Drosophila melanogaster: one gene and its partners. The protein of the gene in region 2 interacts with the protein of the main gene of each other region in a pairwise test. Each region holds a gene or a part of one and is shown on either strand. Other genes may lie near its edges.

Evidence for each region.
Region 1: the proteins of fd59A (region 2) and aust interact in a two-hybrid assay, tested with the Drosophila melanogaster proteins (one large-scale study listed by BioGRID).
Region 3: the proteins of fd59A (region 2) and CG12992 interact in a two-hybrid assay, tested with the Drosophila melanogaster proteins (one large-scale study listed by BioGRID).

What each region holds. Positions count from the first base shown.
Region 1 is NT_033779.5:9,249,511-9,253,161, forward strand, and holds aust (australin), read right to left. Parts: upstream 1,533-3,651; 5' UTR 1,499-1,532; coding exon 1,243-1,498; intron 1,177-1,242; coding exon 782-1,176; 3' UTR 538-781; downstream 1-537. Other genes in the region: borr (borealin-related), read right to left, coding at 2,168-2,366, 2,432-2,840, 3,125-3,476.
Region 2 is NT_033778.4:22,866,448-22,870,203, forward strand, and holds the start of fd59A (forkhead domain 59A), read left to right. Parts: upstream 1-1,711; 5' UTR 1,712-2,054; coding exon 2,055-2,407; intron 2,408-2,727; coding exon 2,728-3,745; 3' UTR 3,746-3,756. UniProt on the Drosophila melanogaster protein: Involved in development during embryogenesis.
Region 3 is NC_004354.4:17,587,054-17,590,809, forward strand, and holds the start of CG12992 (uncharacterized protein), read left to right. Parts: upstream 1-1,811; 5' UTR 1,812-1,877; intron 1,878-1,934; 5' UTR 1,935-2,042; intron 2,043-2,904; exon of another isoform or gene 2,905-2,961; 5' UTR 2,962-3,148; coding exon 3,149-3,415; intron 3,416-3,463; coding exon 3,464-3,756.

The DNA of each region.
Region 1 (3,651 bases), on a different chromosome or scaffold from region 2:
TTACACGTATCAATTGATTGTCCAAATATGTATATGTTGTCTTTGTCTCTAAAAATCGTATTGAATAATTCAGTGAAAACAAGCGTATTTTAAGTCTCTATATATGTACCTTTTGCTATGTATTGTATTTTTATGTATCTGTAACTATATAAACGCGTACGACACGCCCCACTCCCACTCACATTTCACACTCAAATGGGAAACCTAAGAAACAAATGCTAAATTTAACACTATACACACTAAAAATTAATGATAATTTTTAATAACTAAATCTGTATATGTGTAAATGTAACGTTTGTCTAAGGAATCACACAACTGAAAGTGAAGTTGAAAAGTTAGGAAACCAAGTAAAGTTTCACTTGAATTTCATTTCAATGAAAACACAATACACTTTAATTTAACTAAGTACTATACTTACAAGCATAATTGAGAATGTTCACCCACAGACACACAAAACACACACATGCAACACAATAGAAAAATGTTTAAACAATTAAATTTAATGTTAGTGGAGACGGTATTCTGTACGCTATGTTTGTACTTACAAATCGATATATATATATATATATATATACATACAATTAATTAAATTTATTAATTAATTATACAACAAGAAGCAAGCAAAAAGCAGCAAACAGCAACAAGAACAACAGACACGTTCACTTAATGTTTAACAACTGAACAAAAACATTGAAAATGAGAAAATGAAAAAGACTAAATAAAATATTAACGAAATAAGCGTAATAGACGCGTTCTTAAAGTTTCCTATGATAGCTAGCAATTACGGTTTCAATTTGCCCAGTTTGTTGGCCATGTCCACAATTAATCCGAGATTGGCATTCAGTGTCTTCACCTGGTTGAGTGTGTTCTCATCCAGCTGCATCAGTACTTCCCGCTTCACGGTGTTGATCTTGTGCGGTTTCACGGTGATCACGCCGCCCCTGGTGGGAATGTGGACGTCCGCATAGCGATCCGGACGCATCTGGACGGCCAGCGGGCTTCCCGCCTTCGAGAGCACCATCTCTCCGGCGCGGGGCCATCGCACAAAGCTCATGGTGTCGCCACTCAGAGCCCTGTCCACCGAATGCGCCTGAAGCCTCGGTGGCAGGGCATTCTGCGGAGTTCGTGTTCGACCACGACTGATGGACAAACTGCGAGTTGTGGGCGGCTTAATAGCTGGAAAGAAAGTAAAACAAAAATAACAATTACTCTTCTATTGCCGACAGTTAAATTAAATCTCACCTGCCCTCTGAAATTCGGCAAAAGTCTTAAACCCGAGAGCCAAGAATTCTGGCATCTTCATTTGCAGTAGCTGCTTATCAGTCCTACCACGGATCACCTTAATTTGGTTGTCCACCTCTTGCTTGTAGCGCTTGCTCATCTCATCGATCTTCTCCAGAGCCGAATCCATTTTGATTTGGGACAGGCGCACTTTCTCTTCGCGATCAGCCTTCTGGCGCTGGGCCTGACGACGAGCTGTAATCTTGGTGCGAGGCATATTTCTAACGATTTATATATTCCAGTCAACTAATCGCCTAATTCTAACAAAGTCAAAGGGCTCTTTGGTGAACAAGCGATTCAAAACTGTATTCATATCAACGTGCGAAAATACATTTTAAACATTTTTAACATAACATAATTTTATTGGCCACTTTCTGAAATCTGGGAACTTAAAAGCGGTTGCCTCTTTTGCAATTAGCAAAAGAAAGATGTTATTTGAAGGTAGCAGTTTTTGCTAGAGCCATGAAATCCGACCATTTCATCTGCAGCAAACGAGCATCAGTCCTGGCTTGAAGCAAACCCAATTTGTTGTCCACATCCTGCTTGAACAACTTGGCCATCTCATCGACTTTATCCATTGCAGAATTAAATTGGATTCTCACTTTCTCATCTCTTTCGATTCTCCGTCGTTTTGCTTGAAGGCGAGTAATCATCATGGAACGCTTCATTTTTTTTTTTTTGGATTAAGCATGTATTTAAAACATTACATTTAAATCGCCGTACACTTGGATATGAACATGTATTGAAACTTATGCAAATACGATAGATTTTTATGAATAAAGACAAAATACTTGAACTAAATGAGTAAAATGAAAACTGAACTTAAACGAAACGTATTAAAATATATGATATAGCATTATATCTAGATAAGCGTTTGAAATGACAGCTACTTGAACACCGCCTGGCTGGCCTTATTAACAATCATCTGCAAGTTCTCGTGCAGCGTTTTGATCTGGTTAAGGGTGTCCTCGTCCAGGTTCTCCAACAGATTTGACTCCACCTCGTCGGCATCCAGTTTTTTGGGCCGCAAGCTAAGAACTCCGTTCCGAATGGGTATGTTCACATTGGCGAACTTGTCTGGCATTCTATCGTGTGGGAAAAATGGTTTTAACAAATTGGTATCGACACGTAGTATGTGATCAATACTTACACTTGAGCCACCATGGGACTGCCGTATTTGGATAGTGCCACCTCGCCGGGCTTGGGATAGCGCAGGAATGCCATCGGCGGTGTAGTTGGCGATCCGGAGCGCATTTGCTTCTGTTTCAAAGGAGTGCGGTCGGCACTGAAGGCCTTCGCACGCGAGGCCATCGGTGTGCGCAGTTTGCTGCGCGAATTGCGGCTGCTGCTGCTGCTGCTCGAAATTGACGGCGGTTTGGCCGAGTGCAATATGTTGAGATCCCCGCAGGCGGAACGACTGCGCCGCGCTCGACGAGCCCTCGCCGAGTGCAGTGGTCCGGGTGTGCGCATGGCCTTCGTGGACCGCAGCAGGGAGCCTGTGTGGGCGGCCAGGATGCTCCCACCGCTGGCACCGATGCTGCTGTCCTCTGTAAGGTAGCCTAGATACAGTGACCGGCACAGGATGTGGATGTGGGTATATGCATTTTGCGTGCATTGAAATGTGCGGTGCGGAGTTAGAAAGCAAAGTTGAGTTAGTCACAAAGCCGGACACCAGTTAGATTAAAATTAAAAGTGAAAATGGCAACAAGAGGGTATGATGAATACCGAATATACAATGGAATTTGCCAATTTGGCATGTAAAACCGGTATTCATTTGTAATTCGGGTGATGACATCCTTGCCAGCAGATTGGTATAACAGCATACATATATAGGCCAACAAACCTTCGTCATTGCGACTTCCAGTGGCGGAGGGGGCGTGGCCCTCGATGGCGCTGCCACTCATGGACATCGAGGCGAGCAGCTGCGTCTGATCGCTGGCCTTGAAGTCGCTGAAGCGGTCCAGTTCCTCGAAGAGGCGCAGCACTTCGGGCATCTTCAGATTGGCCAGCTCCTTCTGCACCTGGCCGAGCAGTGTCTTCACCTGGTGGTCCACGGCGGAGAGGAACTTGGTCTCCAGCGAATCGATGCTGATAAGGCGGGAATCCATTTTCAGCTCGTACAGGCGCACCTTCTCTTCGCGATTGGCCACCTCGCGGTTGCGTTTGGAGTTCTTTGGTATCTTGGTGCGCGGCATCGTGGCAGCGGCCTTTGTTTACACGTTACAGGGTTTTTGCGAGGAATAACTATTTTCGTAGCAAGCGTCGTCTTTTTGCTATTTCTTTTCGAGTTTGTCCGCTAAAATTCAAGCGTCATGGAACAGTGTTGCCAGATGGCTTTTCATTGCCCAGTTCACGACCGATTGAAAATAC
Region 2 (3,756 bases):
CCAAAAAATCATTGATTTGTAAGTGTAACAATGGGTAAAAGGTGGGCGGGCGTGGGGGAATTGGCAAATGGGAATTTTGGGGGTGGCAAAGCTAAAATAGAATAATGAAAACGATGCCAAGAGTGAAAGAAGCGACATCAATATGGTTCTGAATTCGAAGATGGCGGCCCTTATTGTATTCGTGTCTGTTTCCATGCATCTGTGTGTGTGAGTGAGTGTTTGGTTGTGTGTGGGTAACTTCCGCAAAACTGGAAAACTAATTTGAACAAAGTACAACAAATAAAAGTGACTACTGAATGTTTAATTTGAAAAGGGAAGGCTCCAAACACTGAATGGCGAACAACAACAATGGCTACAACAACAATGTCTAACAACTGGAGAACAAAAACAGCGAAAATGAAAAAGAGAAATAGTACAAAACTCACTTGGATACAAGTACAAATGCAGCAAACACATGTACGTCCAACCCCCTCCCGTCCCACCCACTCTACTGCTCTCTCTCTCTCACTCTAGTAGCCCCCATTGTGCTCGGAGGATGTTGGTGAAAATGGTGCATTTGATTCCATCTCACTTCCACACCCAAATAAAATATACAGAAAAAAAACCAATATTATCTATATTAGATGTATTGTATATTGTATGTATTGTTTTAAAATTATATTTTATTTCGGTTTTTTCGCATTGCTAAAATGACATAACTGTTCTATGCATTTTTTTTTTTTTTAAATGTATTTAATAATAATACATTGTATTATATACATATTTCAGTTAATCGTTCTTAGAATAACCAACAAAATATATCCTATGAAAATAAATACAATTCTACTTATCTAACTGCAAAGAAAAGTCCCTATAACTTCGTTACTTAACTTAAGTAAGATTTGTGGAATTTGGACTTTACATAATTAAACACATAATTAGATTCTTTTCTTTTTTTTCTTTCTGTGCATAGGGACAGAGGGCTGGGAATGAGATTGCGAGCCCGAGAGAAACCAAGAAACGTCGACATACGGTTAGAAAAACATTCGCACATAAAAATGCCAACATTTGAAGCATAACATTTGGGGCAGAGGAGCAGAGTGGTGGTTGGCAGGGCGAGTGCGAGGACGAGGGAGGGCCGCAGGGGAAAAGGACGCCTGCCTCCATGTGGCTGACATAATGAAACATTATTAAGAGCCACGACGTCAAAGCGGCAAAAGGTATCTAAATTTGCGCAAAATGTTTATCCCCCCCACCGCCGCGTTCGTTGGCTTCTGCAGTCGCTGCCAATTTGCCGCCGCTTGGAGAGAGGAAAACACAAATATCGCATTTACAGCCAGGGCTCTCCACCATTTTGTGAGGACTTGCAGCGAGTGGGAGAGGGATGGCACGAGCTAGTTCGCATAGATTGGTTCGCAGGATATCAACCCATCCCCCGCTAGAAAGAGAGGCTTGGCCGGGCTCTCTTGCTCTCTCTCCCTCTGCTGCGATGCTGTCGGGGCGCAGCCAGGATGCTGCCAGGATGCCGTCAGGATGCTCTGCCCGCGCCAACGGCGACGTCGGCAGTAGAATCACAGTTATTCGAGATACGAAAACACAGCAACGGCGACACAAAAGCTCAGGGAAACGTCAGCGGCAGCGGCAATGGCAGCGGTTTTTCATAAATAAATGTTTGAGTTATGTAGAAAAACATTTTGGGCGAGAAGATTTTCGTTTTCGTTGCGATTCAGTTAACATTTGGCCAGCGGATTCCGCCTTCAACGGACGCGACGACGGACTAGGCGCTAGCCAACTTTCCACTTTCCACACCACTGCTGGCCATATGTACAGTTTATCCTAGCAGCTAAACCGGAAACGACGGTAACAGCGAACGGTTAACGGAAGCGGAAATAGAAAAGAAAATATCAAATTCCAAGTTGAATCGAAAAGCATATGCAAATGCCAAGTGAAGCAAGTGAAACGCCAAAACGAACACAGTTCCTGAGCAAAATAGTTAAATAACAGTGTTGCGTCCTCTAAATTTAGTGAGTCCAATTCGCGGACTCAAATAGACTACAGTGTATACCCGCTAAGACATGCACACCAGCACGGATCCCATGCACACATTGCACGACAGCGTCTCCCTCTCGCCGCCGCTCATCAAAAGCTCCAGAGGCGGCTCCTCCATCGGCAACGGAATCGGATGCAGTGCGTCCTCGCGCACTGCCGCCGCAGATGCCATGTCCATGGGCTGCGACGACAGCGACATCGAGCCGTCGTCCATGGGCGGAAGTGGTGCCGCCGGCGGCAACGGAGACGGCTCGGGATCTTCGGGTGGTCCCCTGGTAAAGCCACCATACTCCTACATAGCTCTAATCACCATGGCCATTCTTCAGTCACCGCACAAGAAGCTCACGCTCAGCGGGATCTGCGATTTCATCATGTCGCGGTGAGTTTGCCAGCAAAGTTAATATCCTTAAATGAAGAAGCAATAGTTTGATTTTTTCCAAGTTATCTTAAAACATCAGAAAAAGAGAATAAAAGTAGTAGTTTGTAAAGACGATAAAAATAAATAAATCCTATAAAATTTCAATTGAAAACATAGAAAAGAAGAGACATTCAGTGCTTTAATCGATTTCAAAAATTATAAATTTTAAAATGTGATATTTTATTTACTGATTGCAATGTAAGTGATCTAGATAAACAACCAAATTCTTTAAAAAAAATTCCTCGAAAAAATGTTAAATAACTTGTGCATTTTACTTGTAGCTTTCCATACTACAAGGACAAATTCCCCGCCTGGCAGAACTCCATCCGGCACAATCTCAGCCTGAACGACTGCTTCATAAAGGTGCCCCGCGAGCCGGGAAATCCCGGAAAGGGCAACTTCTGGACGCTGGACCCGCTGGCGGAGGACATGTTCGACAACGGCAGTTTCCTGCGCCGGCGGAAGCGCTACAAACGGGCGCCCACCATGCAACGCTTCTCGTTTCCGGCGGTCTTTGGCACGCTGTCTCCATTTTGGATACGCAAGCCCGTGCCCCTCGTGCCAGTGCATTTCAACGTGCCCAACTTCAATGGGAGCAGGGAGTTCGACGTGGTCCACAATCCGGCGGATGTCTTTGACTCAGCGCTGCGAGCGGACAAGAAGTTTAACTTCTTTGCGAATGCCGAAGCATCCTTCTACCAGGGAAGTCAGTCGGGGGACAAGTTCGACCGGCTGCCCTTCATGAATCGCGGTCGAGGAGCGGATGTCCTGGATGCACTACCGCACAGCAGTGGCTCCGGCGGAGGAGTGGGCGGGGGATCCGAGAGCAGCCGTGGCTCCAAGTACAAAAGCCCATACGCCTTCGATGTGGCGACTGTGGCCAGTGCTGCGGGCATTCCCGGCCACAGGGATTACGCAGAACGACTGTCCGCCGGCGGTGGTTACATGGATCTCAATGTGTACAATGACGATGCGGACACAGAGGCCGATGCGGAAGCCGAGGGAGATGACGACTCATGCGAGGACAAGATCGACGTGGAGAGCGGCAATGAGCAGGAGGACTCACATATCTCGGACTCGGTGGACAGCGCCTGTACAAATCGCCTGGATGCGCCGCCGGAAGCGTTGATCTTTGAGGCTTCTGCCGAGGCGTCCGATTCAAGTCCAAGGAGACGCTTCGATAGCGAGCCCCTGGTTCTGCGGACCAGCAAACAGAGCAGCGCCAAGGACTTTCGCATCGAGACGCTGATTGGCCACCACCTGCATCGCGGTGGCAGCCAGGAGGAGACCAGCGACTAGGCGGGATTCCC
Region 3 (3,756 bases), on a different chromosome or scaffold from region 2:
GCCGTCTCTAAGCACTTAATTATGGTTATTAAAAATTTGGCAAATAGTTTCTTCGCCTTTGTGCGCCCGATCATTTGCACATAGTTAGCTTGAAGCCAGACGCATGTGAAACATCGGAATTGGCCATATCATTATGGTTAAAATAAATTGTATATTTACATACATACATACATATATGCATGTTCGGATGTGGCGTGCCAGCTCTTAGCCAGATTTGCAAATCGGCAACGAGTTGAACGAACGATGGTAGCAATATTTTGACCATCATCATCATTCAAGAGATGACAAACTGCTAAATATTGAAGCAAAAACGTGGAAAAAATAAAAGAAGTGAAGAGAAAGGCAGCCATATGAACCACATTGAATGATTAACACTCTTTAATAGCATTAATGTCTTCATTTGTTTAATTTACTAATTGATTTCGCCAAACAAAACGCTGTATTTTAATGCTTATTGGCTAGTAACCAGAATAACTTGGCTTTGGCTTGGCCAGTAAGTAATAAAAGCCAACAAATGGTAAATAATAGATGGTGGTATCATATCGGACAGTGAATAAGGTCAGTTATAGTTTATTCAGTAGGGGTTTTAGTAAGCGATCAAACTAGTACCCAAAATGAATTAATAAAGGCAAGATAGCAAAGGAAAGAGGTTAGTATTTGCTGGTCAAACCGCCCGTTTTGAGGTCAAACCAAACCCCCTTGAGGGAGTTGGGGTAAATAGTTTTGCTTGCACTTAAACGAAATCAATGCGATTAAAATCGACTTGGCCCAGTCTTGCGGACGGCCAACTGAACTAGCCTTATCAACCATCGAGAATCGGTGTCAGCTAATCGAGCACCCACAACTACAACAACAAACCGCTGTCCCCAATAGTGGAGCACCACTTGGTCATTCCGACCACGTCGCATGGAAATGGAAAACGAGACGAAAACAGAAATGGAAACGGAAAACAAACCTAGAAGCCGAAACCAAAACAGAATAAGAAGCAGCGCCACTCCAAACATGGTCAACGAAATTTGTTTTGTGTTTTGTCACTTTCTCAGCCCAGAACCAAAGAAACACAAACGCGTCATATGGGTGCGCCCTTCAGAAAAATGTGCACAATAATGGGCAAAAGTGTACATGGCTTATAAAGTATTATTCTTACAAATACTGTGACTATAAATCGGATTTAATAACAACTAATCAATTCAATGGACAACTCAGCATTTGCATTATATTAAACCTCTAATGTGAACGCGCTTATGATATTCAAAGTTCAAAGTGTTATTTAGTCAAATAAGGTAATATGTCTGCTAGTAATTTGCCCCCTGCTGTAGTAACTATGTACGTCATTTGCAGGGGTTCTGAACCCAACCCATAGCAGTGGTTCACGTTACACTCGAGCACGTTCTTATCGCAATTAATTGCAGCGCATTGCATAAGCATCGCAAACTTATAGGGTGATACCAAAACGTAAACATAATCTCTGACTCAGCCCAGTGGGTAGCAATTATTAATTATAATTAATAAGCCAAAAGCCAAGGCAAGTCTTGCTTTGATTGGCCAAAAACGCAGCCAGAAGCGGAAAACAAAAACTGAGTCGAATTACACCACAGTTCAAGGGATACAAAAGGGAGTGGGCTGGGGGTCGATATCTGGCTAAGATCGGTGAGCTTACCCAGCCGGATCGGCACTGGAGCGCATCTGAGTGTGTCCACGTCAGCGGGCATCCAAAACAGAGCAGAAATCTTGAGATCCGAGTAATCTAGATATTGTCCTTCAAGTCAGTATTGTGCCACTCAACTGATCAACTTAAGTAGCTTGGAAATTTACATCAAATTATGACAAGTTGTTAGAAAAGTAGTATATACATATTCCTTGGCACGGGCCTTAAAGTAATATACATTTCTTTCTTATAAAATGTTTAATTTTATTACTTGATTTACTTGCAGTTGCATCTGAAGTGCAAGAAGGAAACAAATTAAATATTCACTAGGGCGGAATACTAAGGAAAACTCAAGCCACACACTGAGGAAATCAAAGTAGGAACAACTAAAACTGTAAGTAGTAACGCAAGGAAAATAAGGGAAATTGGGAAAAGGGAAAACAAGCAACATCAACATCTGCAAATCATATGCAGAGCGTCACTCGCATATGGATATGAGATTTCAGATTTTCGTGACCATATCCGGTTGCCAGTCAGCAGTTGCAACTGCAATTGCAGCTTCCATCAAAACAATAGCAAAAACCAAAAGACGAAATGCGGAGCGAACTGAAAACGCAACTTGGGTCTTTTGGGGCCCAGGGAAATCGCATCTTGGCATTCGCCATTGTTGCTATGGGGATTTTTTTCTTTTTTGGCGGGGGGTGTACAATAAATATAGGGTGGAAGTTGCGTAAAACGATGATATGATATTCACACATAGATCGGGCGATAACATCAATAACTAAAGATGATGTGGAAATCAGAAGGTTCAAATGATGTGCCTATAAGGTTACATACATAAATAAATAGATAAATACATACTCTTACATACATACAAAGGTTGTTTTCTAGTCTAGCAAATGATGTTTTAAATAAGAGAAATGTATTTGTAAGAGTACATAACTTGTATCATAAATTAATAATATTATTAAGACTCAACAATGGTTTGGTCTAAAATAATCCACCATTTGATTCAGTGTTTTGAATCCAAATTAAGTTAAGTTTGTTTTTGTTTTGATTTATATCCAGTGTTGAATAAGCTTTTCATGTACTGTGTGTGTGTGTGTGTGTGTGCATATGTTTATGTTCATCTTATCTTGTTTATCTAGCATTGTATAATTAGGTTTAGATTTTGTTAGAATAAGTTTAGATACATCCAGTGCTGTATAATGTTCCAATAACTACATATTTATCTAGTATTGCATAATTCATTTTAGTGTTTAAATAAGTTTAGATAAATCCAGTATTGTTTAATTTGCTGATGAACTTAGCAGTGATTGGCCGAAAGTGGGAAACCTAACCTCATGTTCTAGAAAAAGAATCGCCAACAAATTTCAAGTAAGCAGTGCCTTCTGTCAACTCGAATGTCATTTGGAATTGCCTGAGCTCTATTCAGTTTCGTATACCTCCGGATTACACGTACTAACGTTTGAAAAAAAAAAAACTAAAATTCCAATCAAAATGCCACACAAAAAATTTCCCAGAATGTCACAGGCGCAACTCAAACGTTTGATCAAATCACAAAATCAGAACATAGCAAAGGCCGCGTGTATTTTGGAACCCCCAAAAATTATACAGCAGCCGTCGATGAGGCAGTCCATCATTCCACCGAATCCTGCTTATAGCAAGAAACAGGGCAAAAATGCGGCTCGCCCAAATTCCGAGCGAGCTGGAAAGGTGCCAATGCAGGGGCTGAACCACGTGGTGCCGGAGGACACTGTGAAACAGGTGAAGCAATAAGTATAGTGCAAAAAGCGGGCTTATCGCATAAAATAGTACTTTCAGCATAATCAATCTAAGCAGATGCAACGCAATCGAAGGAATCCATCGTCGAAGATGCAACAAAATGGCAATGAAGCATCCAAGCAGGAGAAGCCCAATCAGCACGAGGACAAGAGCCGTCCCAAGCAGTTGTATTCAAGCGTTGTGGCCAATAAGCAAGACGGGCCCACCGCAGTGAATGCTCCTCCACCCAAGGAGGGCTCATCTGTCAATCAAATTGGATCGTGTTGTCATCATGGCAATGTTTCGGGCGAAAAGCAGAAATGTCCGGATACCAGCTCATCATC